Drosophila melanogaster: one gene and its partner. The protein of the gene in region 1 interacts with the protein of each later gene in a biochemical or structural test. Each region holds a gene or a part of one and is shown in the gene's direction. Other genes may lie near its edges.

Region 1 (7,348 bases):
GATAGGCAGCCAGGCAAGAAGTCAGCACAGAGAATGAAACCCAGGCACCGATCTCATAGGTGTAGTTGGGGCAAGAAACCAAGCTGCAGTTCGAAGAGCGCGAATTAATAAACTTGAGCTGTGGGTTTTTTTAGTGACCACTTACTCGAACAGCTTGGTGAGGGGATTTCCATCGGCCACCGGAATCTTGCGCACTTTTGTTCCCGGCGGACGCAGGTTGCGCAGGGCAATGTGCACCGAAAAGTTTCCTAGTTCGCAGAGCTGAAAGTGAAAAGTGTGCGGCTTAGTTTGTGGGTCTGCAAATATGATTAATGGATCCCAAATATATAGCACATATAACATTACAAATTGCTTGACCAATTTTAACAAAAAGCTACACCTTTGGTATTAAGAAACAAATGTTTCGAACAAAAGCAAAGGAAACCGGTAGATTACGAAAACATATAACCCAGATCCATAAACCATGGCCGCGGATACATACAGCGAATGCCCCAAGAGCTCCCCAAACGGTGCACATGCAGGGCGAGGTGAACTGCGGATGGTTCACGTGGTAGGACACATAGGCGGTGAATCCCCAGTAGTATGTGCAGTTCTTGAAGAGATTCCTCAGCGGCATGGTGGCGTGCGAGAAGCGGTGCACGAAAATCGTCTCCAGCAGACGCTTCACATAGTGGACCGTATAGCAGCCGGCGGCAATGCTGGGGCAAAAGAGAAAAGAAAGCGGGTTACTGGGTGAACCACCATCCAAAGTTCGGGGATAATTATGCAGAGCCGTTGCGTTTTAGTTTGCATAAGCGACGAGGTCGATTAGGTCGACAATCGAAAGACTTCAGAGACTACTTTCTACAAACTCACTGGGTGGTTAGGGAAATCGGCAGACTGGCAGCTTTGCCGTACACCAACTCCGGTCGGAAGTAGAAAATCAAGTATACAATCAGTGGGCCGGCGTACTCGGCCAGGAAAACGGTCTTCCAGCCAATCTGGGGACCCAGATCCTTCACATAGATCTTGTCGCCGGAACGCAGCGACAGGGATTCCAATGTGTCCGTATCCTTTAGGCTTTTGCCCTTCAGTTCCAGACGAAGCGACTGGCGATTCGCGTGTGGGGTCTGCTTCAGGGTCTTGTGAATTAGGGCGCGCAGATCGCCGATGGGCGTGGCGCCGGAGGGCACCTTCACCTTGCCGTACGGCTTGCTGTTCTTCGCGTTCAAAATCTCCAGCTCCATTTTGCTTTCGGTGCGCTTGCAATCAGTACTGTCCAAAATCGAAAATCGCCGAACCGTAGTGTGACCGTGCGGGGCTCTGCGAAAATAAACTTTTTTAGGTATATGGCCACACACGGGGAAAGCACAGTGGATTATATGTATTAATATATTATCCAGGTTTTCATTACTTATCCAGATGTAAGCCCACTTAAAGCGATTTAACAATTATTTGCCGAAAGAGTATAAACAAATTTTACTTAAAAATGGATTAAGAAAAGCTTGTGTAAGATTATGCGCAGCGTTGCCAGATAGCTCCATTTAAAACACTTCAAAAACAATAAGTTTTGAAAATATATACATAAATAGCAGTCGTTGCCGCAACGCTCAACACATCACACTTTTAAAACACCCTTTACCTACACAGAATTACTTTTTAAATTTCCAGTCAAGCTGCGAGTTTCAAAATTATAGCCGGTAGAGAAGACAGTGCTATTTCAAAAGCAAACTAACAAGGGTCTTAAATTCCAAAACACCAATCCTAACAAGCCTTGGACTTTTGTAAGTTTAGATCAAAGGTGGCATTGCATTCAATGTCATGGTAAGAAGTAGGTCGTCTAGGTAGAAATCCTCATTCAGCCGGTCAAGTCAGTACGAGAAAGGTCTCAATTTGAAATTGTCTTAAAAATATTTTATTGTTTTGTACTGTGGTGAGTTTAAACGAAAAACACAAAAAAAAAGTGATACATAGAAATCATAAAAAATTTTAATACAAGGTATTCGTACGTATCAAAAACATTTCGGCACAATTTTTTTTCTCTGTACTAAAGTGTTACGAACACTACGGTATTTTTTAGTGATTTTCAACGGACACCGAAGGTATATAAACAGCGTTCGCGAACGGTCGCCTTCAAAACCAATTGACATTTGCAGCAGCAAGTACAAGCAGAAAGTAAAGCGCAATCAGCGAAAAATTTATACTTAATTGTTGGTGATTAAAGTACAATTAAAAGAACATTCTCGAAAGTCACAAGAAACGTAAGTTTTTAACTCGCTGTTACCAATTAGTAATAAGAGCAACAAGACGTTGAGTAATTTCAAGAAAAACTGCATTTCAAGGTCTTTGTTCGGCCATTTTTTTTTATTCAACGCTCTACGTAATTACAAAATAAGAAATTGGCAGCCACGCATCTCGTTTTCCCAATGAATTGGCATCAAAACGCAAACAAATCTATAAATAAAACTTACGTGTTGATTTTCGCCAAGATTTATTGGCAAATTGTGAAATTCGCAGTGACGTATTTGAAAATTCGAGAAATCACATACGCACTCGAGCATTTGTGTGCATGTTATTAGTTAGTTGTTTAGTTAATTGAAGTATTTTACCAACGAAATCCACTTATTTTTAGCTGAAATAGAGTAGGTTGCTTAAACAAAGCCACGTCTGAAAATTTCTTATTGCTTGTAGTTGTGACGTCACCATATACACACAAAATAATGTGTATGCATGCATTTCAGCTGTGTATACATACATGCACACACTCGCAACACGAAAACGATGACGAAGCAACGGAACAAAGGTTTCTCAACTACCCTTTGTTCCCTGTTTCTTCGCTTTCCTTTGTTCCAATATTCGTAGAGGGTTAATAGGGGTTTCTCAACAAAGTTGGCGTCGATAAATAAGTTTCCCATTTTTATTCCCCAGCCAGAAAGTTAGTTTCAATAGTTTTGTAATTTCAACGAAACTCGTCTGATTTCGTACTAATTTTCCACATCTCTATTTTCTTCCCGCAGAATAATCCAAAATGCAGATCTTTGTGAAGACTTTGACCGGAAAGACCATCACCCTCGAGGTAGAGCCCTCGGACACCATTGAGAATGTTAAGGCTAAGATCCAAGACAAGGAAGGAATTCCCCCAGATCAGCAGCGTCTGATCTTCGCCGGCAAGCAACTGGAAGACGGACGCACCCTGTCCGATTACAACATTCAGAAGGAGTCCACCCTTCACTTGGTCCTTCGTCTCCGTGGTGGTATGCAGATCTTCGTGAAGACTTTGACCGGAAAGACCATCACCCTCGAGGTAGAGCCATCGGACACCATTGAGAATGTGAAGGCCAAGATTCAGGATAAGGAGGGAATCCCCCCAGATCAGCAGCGTCTGATCTTCGCTGGCAAGCAGCTTGAGGATGGACGCACCCTGTCCGATTACAACATCCAGAAGGAGTCCACCCTTCACTTGGTCCTTCGTCTCCGTGGTGGTATGCAGATCTTCGTGAAGACTTTGACCGGAAAGACCATCACCCTCGAGGTAGAGCCATCGGACACAATTGAGAATGTTAAGGCTAAGATCCAAGACAAGGAGGGAATTCCCCCAGATCAGCAGCGTCTGATCTTCGCCGGCAAGCAGCTTGAGGATGGACGCACCCTGTCCGATTACAACATCCAGAAGGAGTCCACCCTTCACTTGGTCCTTCGTCTCCGTGGTGGTATGCAGATCTTCGTGAAGACTTTGACCGGAAAGACCATCACCCTCGAGGTAGAGCCTTCGGACACCATTGAGAATGTTAAGGCTAAGATCCAAGACAAGGAGGGAATTCCCCCAGATCAGCAGCGTCTGATCTTCGCTGGCAAGCAGCTTGAGGATGGACGCACCCTGTCCGATTACAACATTCAGAAGGAGTCCACCCTTCACTTGGTCCTTCGTCTTCGTGGTGGTATGCAGATCTTCGTGAAGACTTTGACCGGAAAGACCATCACCCTCGAGGTAGAGCCATCGGACACAATTGAGAATGTTAAGGCTAAGATCCAAGACAAGGAGGGAATTCCCCCAGATCAGCAGCGTCTGATCTTCGCCGGCAAGCAGCTTGAGGATGGACGCACCCTGTCCGATTACAACATCCAGAAGGAGTCCACCCTTCACTTGGTCCTTCGTCTCCGTGGTGGTATGCAGATCTTCGTGAAGACTTTGACCGGAAAGACCATCACCCTCGAGGTAGAGCCATCGGACACCATTGAGAATGTGAAGGCCAAGATTCAGGATAAGGAGGGAATCCCCCCAGATCAGCAGCGTCTGATCTTCGCCGGCAAGCAGCTTGAGGATGGACGCACCCTGTCCGATTACAACATCCAGAAGGAGTCCACCCTTCACTTGGTCCTTCGTCTCCGTGGTGGTATGCAGATCTTCGTGAAGACTTTGACCGGAAAGACCATCACCCTCGAGGTAGAGCCTTCGGACACCATTGAGAATGTTAAGGCTAAGATCCAAGACAAGGAGGGAATTCCCCCAGATCAGCAGCGTCTGATCTTCGCCGGCAAGCAGCTTGAGGATGGACGCACCCTGTCCGATTACAACATCCAGAAGGAGTCCACCCTTCACTTGGTCCTTCGTCTTCGTGGTGGTATGCAGATCTTCGTGAAGACTTTGACCGGAAAGACCATCACCCTCGAGGTAGAGCCATCGGACACAATTGAGAATGTTAAGGCTAAGATCCAAGACAAGGAGGGAATTCCCCCAGATCAGCAGCGTCTGATCTTCGCCGGCAAGCAGCTTGAGGATGGACGCACCCTGTCCGATTACAACATCCAGAAGGAGTCCACCCTTCACTTGGTCCTTCGTCTCCGTGGTGGTATGCAGATCTTCGTGAAGACTTTGACCGGAAAGACCATCACCCTCGAGGTAGAGCCTTCGGACACCATTGAGAATGTTAAGGCTAAGATCCAAGACAAGGAGGGAATTCCCCCAGATCAGCAGCGTCTGATCTTCGCCGGCAAGCAGCTTGAGGATGGACGCACCCTGTCCGATTACAACATCCAGAAGGAGTCCACCCTTCACTTGGTCCTTCGTCTCCGTGGTGGTATGCAGATCTTCGTGAAGACTTTGACCGGAAAGACCATCACCCTCGAGGTAGAGCCCTCGGACACCATTGAGAATGTTAAGGCTAAGATCCAAGACAAGGAGGGAATTCCCCCAGATCAGCAGCGTCTGATCTTCGCCGGCAAGCAGCTTGAGGATGGACGCACCCTGTCCGATTACAACATCCAGAAGGAATCGACCCTTCACTTGGTGCTCCGTCTCCGTGGAGGAATCCAGGCTTAAACTAAATACATTTCCAAATAAACACAATTTAGCACGCACTTCACTCTAAATAAATATGAGGAGATTATGGATGGCCACTTTCCTTTCTGCATTGTCAAAAGGGAAGACATCAGAAAAATTCTAAATTTCAGTAAACGCCATGACATAAATTTTATTAAATCTATTAAATTCCAAAATAAATGAAAAAGCTTTAAATTCGCTTATTAATTGTGTGGTATTTTTTTTAATTTGGTACTGGAAACGTTTGGTATATACTAGCACACTACATTTGGTAAAATGTAACCCTGGTTGGCAAACACGGACGCGTTAGTACCTTTTCATTATTTACCTTTGGCCAAAATAAATACTTTTAATTCTGTGCGGAAAGAAATGGCTAAATTATTGCAACGCGTAGAAATTACGTTACGCAGCTTTTACATTTTTAACTCGACTTTTGGCCAAGTTGAAGGCGAGGTTGGCAAATCAATTTTAAGGCTAAGAAACGCCCCTAATGAGTAATTTTTTTCAGGAACACAAGAAGGTTTTGTTTTACCATCCAAATGACATTGAATTAAATACGAAAATCAAAGATGTGGGACTAAGTGAGGCCATCATAAGGTTCACTGGGTATTTATGGAACTTTTTACATAGAGGGAAGTGGGTAATAATACAGAGTTTGCTGTACTTGCAGAACTTTTACATCTGAAGATGATTGCCAGGCCTTGCATACCCAGAAAACCACACAACTCTTCTACCAACCCGAGCCAGGGTATTGGTTAGTACTGGTCCTGAATGTTCCCAAGGAGGTGCGCTTAAAGGAGGGCGTGGAGGTGGCCGATTATCGGGGTGCCGAGATCTCCGACAGGATTTATAGAGCAATACTTAGACAATGCTATCAAATGTTTCGCTTTCAAAACGGATGTTTCTCCTCCTGCGGAAGTGAAGAACCTAATCCGGATAAGCGTAGGGAACTGCTCTGCCAGAAGCTACTCCAGTTCTATGATCAGCATCTGACCAACCTGAGGGATCCCGCGCAATGTGATATCATCGATATGCTGCATTCCATTCAGTATCTGCCATTGGATAAAACGCTCTTCTTGCGGGCCCAAAACTTTGGCACCCTGTGCGAGACCTTCCCCGACATCAAGGAGAGCATAATGCTCTACCAGGAGCAGGTCCTTTGTGGCGGAAAACTTAGCCCGGAGGATCTGCACTGCGTGCACTCGTATGTCGTGCAACACGTGCTGAAAGTCGAGGCCAGCAGTTCCACCATTGCAGTTTCTCCTTCACTAAAGCGAAGCATAAGTGAATGCCAGGTGGGCGGATTCGTAAGAAGTCGTCAGAAGGTCGCAGGAGATGAACATGACGCTGTGAATGAGGAAGATCATCCAATGAAGGTCTATGTGACACTGGACAAGGAGGCCAAACCCTACTACTTGCTCATCTACCGCGCTTTGCACATAACTCTGTGTCTGTTTCTGAATGGTATGTTAAGGATTAGAACTAAATAGCCAAAATAATCAACTTGAAACATTCCACATTTGTCAGCTGACCAGGTTGCGCCGAAACAAGATCTCTACGACGATCTCCATGCCTACATGGCTCCCCAACTGACTTCGTTGGCCCGGGACATATCCAGCGAGTTGACAAAGGAGGCGGTGGGTGCTGCAGGCCAGGACAACTCCAGCGGGAACAGCGAAACGGCGCCGAAGTACTTGTTCATTAACGAACAAAGCCTGCAGCACCACACGAACTTTCAGAGGCACCTGCCCCAAGGGCTGCCCCGCAATGTGCTTAGTATCATTGCGGACTTGGCCAATGGCAGTGGCAAGGCGGAAATGGAGAGTGCTCCTGCCGAGGAAGTTCAGGTCAAGACCACCAATGACTATTGGATTGTGAAGCGGCGCTGTAACTACAGGCAGTACTATGTGATCCTGTGCAATAGCAAGGCCACCTTGCTGGACGTCACCCAGGAAGCGAGGCGCATTTTCGAGCAAGAGCTCACAGATGATGTATTTTTTGACAAATAAAGAGGAGGATTAGGTAAATAATGGGAGTGCGCCAATTGTG
Region 2 (6,376 bases), about 15 Mb from region 1:
CGTGAACTTCAATGCCGTGCGCTCTGACAACGTGTCGTGCTGCTCCGTAACGCTGATCTCTACCTTGGAGTGCACCAATCTCCGACTGAGATGCTCCGACGGGGCAATGGGCGACGGCAGCTCCAGCTCGTGCATTAGAAGTTTCCTCTTTCCCGAGCAAGTACCATTATCGGGCGTGCCAGGCGGCAGTCCGCATAGGTTTCTAATGGGTGAAAGGCAGCCGAAGCTACTTTCCCCGGATGCGGAATCCGACAGTCTGCCAGCGAACATTGTTTGCTTGCCCTGCGGACTGGAGCCCACCATGGACCTCGATGGCTCTGCCGTGTCCTGTTCGCCCAAAACAATGACATTGTGCAGATCGAAGAGTTTCCGGCGCATGGAACTATTAAAGATGTCGGGACCACCACTTGACTTGCTCCTGCCAGACAAGCGGCCAGCCAAATGTGGCTGGAAGTACGGACGCAGGGCATCCTCTAGGGCTTTTGGCAATATCGGCGGCAAAGTAAGTTCCGTTTGCACCTCGCAATCCCGCATCCTTCGCGACTTATTCGATATGGGAGTGTTGTCCTCGCTGCAATTGAGTATTATGCGCTGTTTTCGCAATGGGCAATCCACCGGACTGGGCACAATGAGTGACTCCTTGAAAAAGGCACTGATGGCCAACTGGGCCTTGGATTCCTGCTCGGGATCGGGGGAATCGTGGAACTGGGTTTCATGGGGCTCCACGTCGGCGGGTTTTAGTTGGGAGACCTCGTCAATGTTCCACTCGAACTGGGTGGACGAGAGTTGGGGTGTCCGCGAGCGGAAAAGTGAGGGGCTGCCAGGAAAAGAGAGGGTCGCGTTAAGAGGATTTTTCGAGCAGACGAAAAACTCACCTGGCGATCAGTGGCAGGTGTAAACGATCGGCCATCGCTCCTTCGAAGGGATTCCGCACCTTGTGCAGCCTTTTCGGGGGCGGGGTGCACACATTTCCCGACATCTGGGGGCTGTATTTTCCATTTTCTTTGCCGCCATTCGTTGGCGTTGCCGACGCCGCCGACGAGTTGCTGCTGTTCGAGTGGCTGTTACGGCGCGCCCGGCACTTCAATCCGTTCACATTTGTAATGTATCGATTCTTGAGGGCTTGCGGCGTTCGCACCTCGTCGTTGTACATCTTTTTCAGTCACTAAGTCGCCTAATTTCGACTTAAAATAAAACAAGCGCGCCTGCTGCGACTCGCAGGCAGATGTCGGTATTTTCAAATGCAGCAGTGTTGTATAGCGATGCAGCGGAGTTATCGAATCGTTGGCAATTCGAAAAGCAGAATGCGAAAGTGAGGGATGTTCAAGGAAAAAAAGGTGCTAACGACTGATTTGTCACTTAATATTTATTTATTCGCATATCTAAAAGTGCCTGCAAATTATTTCGACTCCCGTCTAACTTTTAGTATTTTTATTTTGCGCGCCACCCGCTGCTTGCTGTCGATAACACATCAGCTGGGCGACTTTAACCGTTTTATAATAAAATGGGACCAGTCTAAAAATAAAGAATGGTTACTGGTATACAAAATTGTATCCCATTATAAACTTGAGGAATAAGTAGCTCGTAATTATCCGAATATGGATGCATTTCAATATTTGGGCTGCTAGAACCTTTTATTGTTCCTATAACCCGAATAGAGATTCCATTTCAATATAACTTTATCTTGAATGGTTTAGTTTACTTTCTATTTAAACTAATATTCCGTTTTAAATGTTTCAATACTCTTATATTAGAAAAATACCAATGCCAACATCTGAGTACGATTTCGCAACTGGTCACACTGACAGCTGTCTTCTACCAACACATATGCGCGCGTGTGTATGTGTTTGCGTGCAGTGCGAAATAGAAACAAGAAAAGCAAGCGAAAAATCACAGAAATTCACAAAAAAAAAGCCCAACTACTTCCAAAATTGGGCCGCCCGGCGAAGAACCGCAAAAGTGGCCAAAATTCGGCGAAAACAGCGCAAGTGTGACAAAGCATTCGTGCCGCTGCAGTCGTCGGCGAAACGGGCGAAAACAAAAGAGAATAGTGTTGATAGTAATACGAGCGTATTTAGCAGTAGCAGCAGCAGCAGCAGTGGCCGAAGCTTCGGCAGGGGAACGGAACGGTGGGCGGTGGGTGCAGAAGCGGGCCGGGGAACGGCCGAGAACGAAACACTAGCAGTAGCAGCAGCAGCAGCGACAACAACAAATGCCGGTCGCTTTATCACCGCCGATCTAATCAAAACAGTTAACAGCGACAAGCAGCGAGACAGAGTAGCAAAGGGCCACAGGGACGCGAAAAACCCCCTAGATGCCACCAAACATTTGCGCCTATCGGACTGCTTGCGTACCGTGCAAAAACTTGCTATTGAACTTGAGAGCGCCGACGCCGGCAGCGACGCCAGCGCCCAAGCCAACGCTAGCGCCGACGCCAGCAGCGCCGTCATGTCCGAGACGGGTTGTCGGCACTATCAAAGCTATGTGAAGGAGCACAGCTACGATACATTCCGGGTCATCGACGCCTACTTCGCTGCTTGCGTCAACAGAGATGCGCGCGAGCGAAAGGTGAGTTCAGTAGCGTGGAAGAGAGTGGGAGCTAGAATGAGTGCGCTACTGGCGTGGTGAGGTGAGAATGTGCGAGTGTGCGAAGGGGAGAACGCAATTACAATCAGAGGTGCGCCGTGAGTCACGTGAAAGGTCACTGACACCCCGGCTGTGGGATGACAGTGGCAGACAACGCACCGTTCTCACCACAAAGCAGTGCGGACTTTTTTGAATGGGTAAAGCATGCAACAGCTGTTTTAACAGCTGACAAATTGGCACTGTGAAAAATACTTTTGCATCGAAAAAGTTTTGTTTTCATTACGGTGAAATTACATATCAAGAAAAATATATTCAAAATATTTAATATTGTTACATGGCTTTTGTATTTTTAGCTTCATATTGATTATATATTATATTGCTTACGAGATTTAGAGTTTTCAAATTTTTGTTACACTTTTATGCATTTAGTATGGGACGTATTTTTTGTAAAGTTAATGGGATTAGAAAAAAAACGAATATAATTTTTTATCAGCTGCCATTTTAAAATCTACCTCCGCCAGGCTATTCACTGCAACTGCTTCGAGTGCGGCAGCTACGGCATCCAGTTGTACGCTTGCCTGCACTGCATCTACTTCGGATGTCGGGGGGCCCACATCACGAGTCACCTGCGATCCAAGAAGCACAATGTGGCCCTGGAGCTGTCCCACGGAACGCTCTACTGCTACGCCTGCAGAGATTTCATCTACGACGCGCGGAGTCGCGAGTATGCGCTGATCAACCGCAAGCTGGAGGCGAAGGATCTGCAGAAGAGCATCGGCTGGGTGCCGTGGGTTCCCACAACCAAGGAGACCAATCTGCTGCTGGCCAATGCGAGGCGTCGGCTGGTGAGGCCCAATCAAACGATCGGACTGAGGGGTCTGCTTAATCTGGGCGCCACTTGCTTCATGAACTGCATCGTCCAGGTGGGCAAATCCAATTAAACTGGCGAGTCTCCTCTCACTGACTTACTCCTGTCTCCTCTAGGCTCTGGTTCACACGCCCCTGCTCAGCGATTACTTTATGTCAGATCGTCACGACTGCGGCAGCAAGTCATCGCACAAATGTCTCGTTTGTGAAGTGTCACGTCTCTTCCAGGTGAGTTCAATATGCTGTGGTGTTTATGAGGAGTCTTTTCTATTCGATATGCTATCCCCCTTTGTAGGAGTTCTATTCCGGCTCCCGTTCGCCGCTGTCGCTGCACCGGCTACTGCATTTAATCTGGAACCATGCGAAGCACTTGGCCGGCTACGAGCAGCAGGATGCGCACGAGTTCTTCATCGCCACTCTGGACGTGCTGCATCGGCACTGCGTGAAGGCAAAGGCGGAGCACGAAAGCAAGAGCAACAGCTCTGGCTCGGGAAGTGGAACCAATTCCAGCAACTCGAGCAGCTCGCATTGCTACGGCCAGTGTAATTGCATCATTGACCAGATCTTCACGGGCATGCTGCAGAGCGATGTGGTGTGCCAGGCCTGCAACGGAGTGTCCACCACGTACGATCCGTTTTGGGACATTTCGCTGGACCTGGGCGAAACAACAACGCATGGTGGTGTTACTCCAAAAACGCTGATAGACTGCCTGGAGCGGTACACTCGGGCCGAGCATCTCGGATCGGCGGCCAAAATCAAGTGCTCTACCTGCAAATCCTACCAGGAGTCCACCAAACAGTTCAGCCTGCGCACTCTGCCCAGCGTGGTGTCGTTCCATTTGAAACGCTTCGAGCACTCAGCTCTGATCGATCGCAAGATCTCCTCGTTCATTCAATTCCCCGTGGAGTTCGACATGACGCCCTTTATGTCGGAGAAGAAGAACGCCTACGGCGACTTCCGGTTCTCTCTGTACGCCGTGGTCAATCATGTGGGCACCATCGACACCGGCCACTATACGGCGTATGTGCGGCACCAGAAGGACACGTGGGTCAAGTGCGATGATCATGTGATAACGATGGCATCGCTCAAGCAGGTGCTGGACAGCGAGGGGTAAGAATGACCAATATATTACAACTTTATCACCGCAAAAGCAGCATTCAATGTTAACTTACTTAAGTTGATTTCACGTCTTATCTTAAATTCATATACAACGTTATTTAGCTTTTTATTCGGATTATCAAATCATTATTAACTAACTACTTATTTTCACTTCTTTCAGTTATTTATTGTTCTACCATAAAAATGTGCTGGAATACGAGTAAGAAAATCCGCTGAGATCGATTAAAGCAGCGACTGCATCCCTCAAAAAACAAAAGCAGAAAACAGAAGTCAATGCATTACGAATTACGAATAAACACAAAATACAGACAAGGACGCGGCAGCGCTTACATATTAAGTAATATTAACACAAACACGAAAGCAATCCTACAATTTGAGGAGTGTTCATTTGATTCGATTGGGGTTATTCAAGCTCACAAACTCAAAACATTGGAACGAACAATGGAGAACAAAAAAAAAGGAAATTAATGAAAATGTAATCAATCTGAACACTCGATTTGTGGAGATACCCGTTTTGCTCTAAGTATTTCAAATCCATAATACTAAAAACAAAATCAAAAACAACAAGCAGATGACTTATACATTTATATTTAAAAATCAAACAAGGGATATTCTACAAACGCCGTATTACAAATGGAAAGCGAATTTTTATCATTTTTCTTGAAATGCCTTTTATTGAAAAAAAAAATGTTAAAAACTCATTTTCAGACACATCCGTTATAACTGAACCAAAATCCAAATCATGCTTATGAATGTCATGGATTTTTTTTATTTCGTCTTCATTTAAATAAGGAGAGCAATAATTGTAAATTTAAATACTTACATTTTTGGGGGCTTAGGAAACTGGGATTAAGATACATTGCAATTATTTAAAAAACAAAAAAAAATTACAACCGACGTCAACTTGGGCTCGTCCGGGAATTGAACCCGGGACCTCTCGCACCCGAAGCGAGAATCATACCTCTAGACCAACGAGCCTGCGGTACTGGGAGCGATCAGAATGACGCTTTTTAATGTGCGAGCCCTCTCACTCCATCGCTCTGCCTTGTGCTATGAGCAGGCTAAAAAGAGACAACTATAGTGTGCGCTTGGTTCGAACGCTTGCTTACTTATTCGATGCACAAACCACATTGAATGTTATCTGGGAATATAATATGCTATTTATGAGCATACATTTTTTAATTCCGTGTAATGAGAACCTACTCTTGTTGGATAAAATCCAATTGTCTAATTAAACTTTTCACAGTCACAGCTATACATAATTGTTCCTCAATTTTCGTGAGGAATTTTATTTATTTTAAGGTATAAAATCCTTTTTCTGAGACTACCATCTTCTGAGCTTGAATTATTATTAATTTATTAAAGGAAATGTATATTTTATCGGGTCAATTACCTTATCGATAAGATCGGGAGCTTTGCAATACTGTCGCAGTTGGAAAAAGTCTAGGTGTCGTCAGAACGCGGATTAAAATGTAGTTTCAAAAGTCGTACAATTATCCCAACTTCAAGTAAAATGGCTGCATATGCGAGCGCAAGAGGCAAAATTATTATCAACGCTGCCCAAAACATCCAGAACTAAGCAGCCAAAATGTTAAAACAAACGGTTAATATGCATGCTCATATGATTTTGCCGCAGATGAATTTTTTAATGTACGCTCGACAATGCGCTTTTCGCAACGCTCATGCAAATTACTTGTGAGTCTCCGGGATTTAAAAAAGAATCAATCCTAGACGAAAACTGTAATGTTACATAGTTTGTACGTAAGGAAATACATAAACATTATGGAAATGTGCCAATTTTTCA

Evidence for each region. The genes of interacting proteins can lie anywhere in the genome.
Region 2: of the proteins of Ubi-p63E (region 1) and not, one has a biochemical effect on the other in vitro, tested with the Drosophila melanogaster proteins (one study listed by BioGRID).

The regions. Positions count from the first base shown.
Region 1 is NT_037436.4:3,897,419-3,904,766, reverse strand, and holds Ubi-p63E (Ubiquitin-63E), read left to right. Parts: upstream 1-1,582; 5' UTR 1,583-1,763; intron 1,764-1,846; exon of another isoform or gene 1,847-1,912; intron 1,913-2,059; exon of another isoform or gene 2,060-2,240; intron 2,241-2,716; exon of another isoform or gene 2,717-2,914; intron 2,915-2,996; 5' UTR 2,997-3,007; coding exon 3,008-5,299; 3' UTR 5,300-5,336; downstream 5,337-7,348. Other genes in the region: Sc2, read right to left, coding at 1-83, 146-261, 482-698, 856-1,226; Ccz1 (Caffeine, calcium, zinc sensitivity 1), read left to right, coding at 5,669-5,752, 5,808-5,905, 5,970-6,763, 6,827-7,308.
Region 2 is NT_037436.4:18,617,564-18,623,939, reverse strand, and holds not (non-stop), read left to right. Parts: upstream 1-1,810; 5' UTR 1,811-1,827; coding exon 1,828-2,568; intron 2,569-3,107; coding exon 3,108-3,509; intron 3,510-3,570; coding exon 3,571-3,681; intron 3,682-3,748; coding exon 3,749-4,563; intron 4,564-4,732; coding exon 4,733-4,775; 3' UTR 4,776-5,134; downstream 5,135-6,376. Other genes in the region: bora (aurora borealis), read right to left, coding at 1-817, 876-1,153. UniProt on the Drosophila melanogaster protein: Histone deubiquitinating component of the transcription regulatory histone acetylation (HAT) complex SAGA. Catalyzes the deubiquitination of histone H2B, thereby acting as a coactivator in a large subset of genes.